Linked DNA regions of Ovis aries. The protein of the gene in region 2 purifies or fractionates together with the protein of the main gene of each other region. This does not show direct contact. Links are inferred from orthologs where the notes say so. Each region holds a gene or a part of one and is shown on either strand. Other genes may lie near its edges.

Region 1 (2,697 bases), on a different chromosome or scaffold from region 2:
TAGGTAAGGCACAGAATAGTATTTAGTGACATCATGTCGTTTAGAATGACACTTAAAAGATGTACATATAAATGAATAAAGAAAGATTTAAAAGTTACATGTATGCTGAGTTTATAAAACATGCATATGAAAGAATATTGGAAGATAATATGGGAATAATAGTTATGTTGAATTAATGAGAGAATGGGAGGTAATTTCCTCTCTCATATTCTCAATTTTCTAGAATTTCAAAAATTTGTTCAAAAATAAAAAGCCATTTGGGAAGAATTTGATGAGTCCTCGTGCTCATTTTGTCTTTGCTTGGTTGACCTTTTGTATCTCCTCTTAATTTCTTAGTCAGTTTTCTGGCACGAGGGTGATACTCTTTCCCCAGACCGGGAGTGTGCAGAGTTGTGGTATTGTGGACCGTTTGTCTTCACGAAGGAAAGAAGGCCGTGTGCCATCCTGGTTCCCAGACGCTGGGCTGCTTCTAGGTGGAAAGTGAGAAGTCACTTGGGAAGCCGTGCCGAAGTGAACTCTAGTGACTGTGAAGGAAAGGAAGAGAGAAGCTATTGGTGGAGGGTACCAGCATCTGAAACAGGATTTTTAGCAGACCTGAGGGGCTTGGCTGGGAAGGAAGAGAGGGGAGAAGGAGGCTCGCACGGAAGCAGAGAGGATCATGAAGCAAGCTTCTTGTACCCGGCCTGGCGGGGATGCTTTGGAGAGAGATGGGGATCTGAGTGTTGACTGGGACCTCAGTATGATCAGTGGTGTTCATTTTTACATGGATCTAGACATAGCAATCAGAGCACAACCCCTTCATAGGAAGTACATCTTGTCCCCATTTGTACTCAGTGTGAATTCCAGAACTGGGATGCTGTGGCAGGTGTTGACTGTAATTAAATCCTCTGATGAGTACTGTGGAACCTGCCATAAAGTTGATTTTGAAAATGTTTTTGGTAGAATTTTATATCTGAAGCAGTTTATACCTTGCTATCTGAAAAGTTAAATTTTTAGCAAGTAAAATTTTAATTGAAGACAAGACTTGCTGTGCTAGTCCTGTTGGGGTGCTTGAAGGTGGAGAGGAGGTTCAGGGCACCTGGGGGCCCGCCGGGTCACATGGGTCAATGCTGGCCGGACTTAAGACATGGGGCTTGTAATTTAAAGTGCCAGAGCACCACGTTGGCTCTGCACTGAATTTCATGACTGACAGCAGGGAGTGTTACTTCATAAACGGGGGGGTCACTCATGTTTGAGCGCAGTTGTCAGGTGGACTCTCCCTGCCTGCTTTTTCCCCATGACATGTGTTTGTGCTCATTATCTCCCCTTCAGGCTCCAGGTCCTCCAATGACTTTTCTGTGAACAGAACTTGGGTTTTCTCTCATGCATTTCTCTTAGGTGGTCTGATTTCATTTGAGTGGTTTCGACCGTGTCCCCCTGCCCTCCGGCACCTTGCTTGGGCTGCAGAATCAGCACTGACTGTGAACTTTATGGATCCGGGCAGGCATCCCTCAGTGTCCTTGTTGAGTGACCACTGGCTGGGGTGCTGGGTTTTAGGGGTGAACGCACAGACGAGTGACTCTTGCTCTCCCAGACTTTGAGGTGTTGTAGGGAAGAATCTTGGAGGACGATGTGAGCTGCATGCTCGCTGCTCTGGGGTGGGAGGTGGATGCAGAGCAGGGAACCATGTGTTCGGACCTTGGTGACCACTCATGCTCACTGTTGTCCTGTAGAGCTGGTCACTGGGGACCAGATGTTGGACATTTTAAAAACTTTAATAATGAAATTGAAACCTGTCAGAACTTTCTGTGTAAATAATTTCTTGGACAGGGATGTGGAGTTTTAAGTTTTGTTTAAAACTATTAAGGAGAGTTGTCAGTTGACGAACTCCCTGCCTGCTACCTTTGTGATGCAGAACGACATGGAACCCAGCAAAGCCATTCCGCTGAACGCTGCGAAGCAGGACGGGCCCGCGCCAAAGCCGCACAGTGTCTCCCTCAGTGACACCGAGACGAGGAAGCTCGTGGAGGAGTGCAAGCGGCTGCAGGGGGAGATGATGAAGCTGTCAGAAGAGAACCGACTCCTGAGGGTGAGTGCCCGCCTGGCCCCACTGTGCAGCGGCCTCGGCGCCCCTCTCGCCCTTGGCCTGGACGCTGGGGGCTGGCGTGCCCTGGCTGCTTCCTCACTCGCTGGTGCAGCCTCCGCGCCCGGGCCTGGCATTATCGGCTGCAGCAGCAGTGCAGTCCCTGCGAGGGGGCCCCCGTTGTCCAGGGCGGGCCACCAAGGTGTGCTTAGTCAGAATTAAGATGTGCTGTGAGTCACATAGTGCAAGAAAAATCCCTGTTTTGTATTGTTATGTTGAAATAATATTGAATTCTATTAGATTCAGTAAAAGATACATTATTAAAGCTAATTTTATCAAGTTTAGTACCTTTTTAATGGGCTTAGAAAATTTTAAATTTCGTGCATGGCTCCCATTGAAGGCCCCTGTGAGGTGGCTTGACCTGTGCTGAGATGGTTTTTCTGGCTGTTTCTTCCTCTCCCAAGCCCCTCTCCAAGGCCCCTGCCCTGAACACCTACCTGGAGGGTGGAGAGATGCCCTCTGTTTCACAACCACACACAGCTCCATCCAGTTGTAAGGGGGCTGCTGTTTGCCCTTTTCCTTTACCTGCCATGACCTCAGTTCTGTGTTTGGTGGACGGTGTGCTCCCTGGCTGC
Region 2 (3,651 bases):
AACAAGGGCTGTGCTATGCTATATTGAGTGTTTACTCTGCTGTTCAAGTACTTTATAGACCCAGGAGGTGCAGGATGTTTCTGAGAATGAGGTTACTCTCCTTGCAGCAGAGAAGGCCGAGGCACAGAGTGGCTGTCCGCAGTCGGCGGGGTTGGGAGTCAGACCCCGCCCCGTGGCTCCAGAGCTCCTGCTCTGAAGCACCATGCTCTGCAGCCAGCGTCGGTCCTTTCGTGGCCGTGGTCCCTCTCTGTCCTGCTCAGTTGGAGACCGCTCTCTTTCCCCTGACTTCCTTCTTGCCGCAGGTGTGCCGTTTCCTCTGAGGCATGAACTGCTGTTTTGAGAAACCTGGGTGCTGGCTCTGGGGAGGTGGCCTCTCCCCTGGGGGCAGGGCGGTCATTGCTCTGACCGTTGAAGGATCTCTCTTCCCAGGACCTCACGCCAGGCAGTGTGGAGGAGGCGGAGGAGGCCGAGCCCGACGAGGAGTTTAAAGATGCGATTGAGGTGGGTGGCCTTCCCCAGCACCCCCAGCTGACCAGGTCAGAAGTTGGGTGGTCCTGGAGCCATGTGGCCTCTCTCATTCCAAGTCTGGGTTTTTAGAGTTCTCTTGTATCCAAGTGAGAGGGTGAAATGTACCCTGCGCTCAGACTCACTGGTTGAAAGGATGCCACTGAACCTCTGCCCGTCCTCTTGCTGACCTTGGCGTCTGTCCTGGGTGCCCAGGGAGGGGGTGGCTCTGGAGGCCTCTGGGAAACGCCCTGCTAGGGAGGTGGGTCGTTTACTGCCTTGACTGGAGACTGTGGGCCTGGCACCTTTGATGTGGGGAAGGCAGAGTTGGAGGAGGGCATCGTCCCGGACTCTGCCTGCTCTTCTAAACGATGAGGTCCGTCAGATGTCCCTTTGAGGGGTGAGAATGGGAGGCTGGAGAAAGCAGTTGCATGGCCAAGTGCTGGGTTGGAGAAAGTTCAACAGTCTGCCTGGTTTTAGGACAATGGTTCACACTGGTAGTTTGCAGAAGTGTTTTATTTGGCATGCAAAGCTTTAATTTTTTAGCCGATATTTAAAAATTGGAGAGACTATAGTAAAAACTCTGGATTTTTCAGTTTTTCTAAAAACTCAGCAGCTCTGGGAGCCCTGAGTCTGCAGCGGTCAGTGTAGCTGAGGAGAGACTGTCTGCTTCAGAGAAGTCACACTACCCCACCAGTTCCTGTCATCCCCGGCCACTGAGTCCTGGCGGCGTTTGCCATTTAGTGTCATGTTTGCTCTATGGCTTTTCTTAAACAGTAGGAGTTCACTTCTTTTTATGACTCTTGTAAAGTGGGGGATACAGGAAATGGAGGTCTCGGGAGTTTGCTCCAGGCCTACGGTTTTCACCCAGCTGTCTGCTGTTACTGTAGCCACATCTGCGTGGACGTTTCCATTTTCTACTGCTGAGGTTTCTCCAAAACCTGAATGTGCGACTGTGGACTCCTAAGTCATGACTCTTGAGTACGCAGCTTCTCCCCAGCTGACTGATGTTGGGATCCTTGACGGGGTCTCTGTTAACATCGCCCTTCAGTACGTGCCCAGAGTCAGTGTAGTAGCATTCCTGTGCTTCCTCTCGCTTGGGGATCCCCTCCCGGCAGCTTCCTTCTTGCTATCTTCTCTCTGTTTTCTTTTCTTCTCCCCCGGCACCTTGGGAGGCAGGAGACCCACTTGGTGGTGCTGGTAAGTAGGAGCCTTGGTGAGGTAGGCAGGGGCCGAGGGGGTTGAGGATGGGTGGCTGAGCCAAGGTCGCTATGCCTCGCGGGGTTCGCCACACATGCAGGTCCCAGAGCCCTGTCACGAGGGGACAGGACTGGAAGGAGCTGTTCCCGCAGGAGGATGACGAGGGGGCCCCGTGCCCGGCAGAGGACGAGCTGGTCCTGCAGGACAACGGCTTCCTGAGCAAGAACGAGGTGCTGCGCAGCAAGGTGTCGCGGCTCACTGAGCGGCTCCGCAAGCGGTACCCGACCAACAACTTTGGTATGGCTGGGGGCTGGCGGGTTGGAGGTATCCTGGCCACGGGGCAGAGGTGCTGTGTTCTGAGGAGCAGAGCTGTGTCCATGGCACCCTAGGGAGGTGGCACAGGCACAGCGGGGCTGCGAGGGAGGGAGTGTGGGCTCCTTCTTGTGTCTCTGTCCTCATTACTTCTTGTGGGAAGATGAGTTCAGTTCTGGAAGCGCTCCTCTGGGACCACAGGGCAGTGTGGTCTTGAGGCAGGCAGAGCCACGGCGGGCTGTGGAGCGTGCTGGTTGAGTGAGGAGTCTGAGTGTCTAGGTGAACCCCAGTGCTGCCAGGTGGCCTTAAGCAAATTATTTAACTTCCCCCTGCCTCAGCTTTCCTGCTGTAAAAGGGGACTGACGCTGAAGCTCCAATACTTTGGCCACCTGATGCAAAGAGCCGACTTATTAGAAAAGACCCTGATGCTGGAAAAGGTTGAAGGCAAAAGAAGGGGGTGGCAGGGAATGAGATGGTTGGATGGCATCACCAACTTAGTGGACGTGAATGTTAGCAAACTCTGGGAAATGGTGAAGGACGGGGAAGTCTGGTATGCTGTAGTCCATGGGGTTGCAGAGAGTCAGATGCGACTGAGCGAATAAACAATGACTGAAAAGAATAGTACAAGTTCCTGTCTCACAGGGTTGCTGTAGGTCTCAAAAGAGAGAATGCTTATGAAGTGCTGGCACATTGCTGGCTGGTTCATAGTAAGGGCTTCATAAGGGGCGCTGTTATCACGGGAGGCCCTGGTCTTCCCCTCAGGTGCCTAGGCACTTGTCTGGATCTTCCCAGTCCGATTGGAAGCAAATGGAAGGAAACACTGTCTTCTGGGGATGATAGAGCCCCGGCTCCCCTTCTCCCCAGCCAAGTCCGTAGATTGGCCAGTCCTCATTATACTGACCTTATACACACCAAGAGTGTGACCTTGGAGAAGCGTGGACTTGATTGTCCTCACAGTTTGGAGGGACTTCCCTGGTGGCACAGATGGTGAAGAATCTGTCTGCAATGCAGGAGACCCAGGTTTGAGAGTCCCCTGGAGATGGAAGTGGCAACCCACTCCAAGATTCTTGCCTGGGAAATCCTGTGGACAGAGGAGCCAGGAGGGCTCTGGTCCATGAAGTTGCAAAGAATCAGACATAACTGAGCTGATTAACCAGCTTGGAAGCCTGGCTCTGATCAGGAGAGCGGGAGCCAAGCCGGATGAAGCTATAGCTGGAGCCTGGAGAACCGGAGGCTCAGGGCTCTCCCTGGTCCTGGAGCAGAGCCTGGCTTCTGCCTGTTGTCAGCAGACAGGGACTGGAGCCTGGAGAACTGGAGGCTCAGGGCTCTCCCTGGTCCTGGAGCAGAGCCTGGCTTCTGCCTGCTGTCAGCAGACAGGGAGGAGGGTGGGCTGGCTGTGCCATGAGATCTGGTGGGAGAGAGTCCTGAGGAAGCCCGTGGGGTTTATCGTGAGGTATTTAACCTGGGCGCTCCAGGGCCTGCCTTCCTGCTCCCGCAGCGACCAGGGCAGTTGTTTCCTGAGCGGTAGACATCCTGGGACACCCTGTTTCTTTCTGCTCTGCAAATGCCTCCAGGCCTTCAGGATCCCTTCCTTTTACTTGTGATGGTTGCCGACTGCTGCCGATTGCTCTGCGT

What was found. The genes of interacting proteins can lie anywhere in the genome.
Region 1: the proteins of ZFYVE27 (region 2) and VAPA purify together in Homo sapiens (co-immunoprecipitation; 3 studies listed by BioGRID and IntAct, counting the BioPlex papers as one, with this or other methods). This does not show direct contact. The link is inferred for Ovis aries from reciprocal best matches to the Homo sapiens genes ZFYVE27 and VAPA.

The regions. Positions count from the first base shown.
Region 1 is NC_056076.1:42,439,842-42,442,538, forward strand, and holds part of VAPA (vesicle-associated membrane protein-associated protein A), read left to right. Parts: intron 1-1,894; coding exon 1,895-2,068; intron 2,069-2,697. UniProt on the Homo sapiens protein: Endoplasmic reticulum (ER)-anchored protein that mediates the formation of contact sites between the ER and endosomes via interaction with FFAT motif-containing proteins such as STARD3 or WDR44.
Region 2 is NC_056075.1:18,731,706-18,735,356, forward strand, and holds part of ZFYVE27 (protrudin), read left to right. Parts: intron 1-429; coding exon 430-501; intron 502-1,683; coding exon 1,684-1,704; intron 1,705-1,856; coding exon 1,857-2,001; intron 2,002-3,651. UniProt on the Homo sapiens protein: Key regulator of RAB11-dependent vesicular trafficking during neurite extension through polarized membrane transport. Promotes axonal elongation and contributes to the establishment of neuronal cell polarity.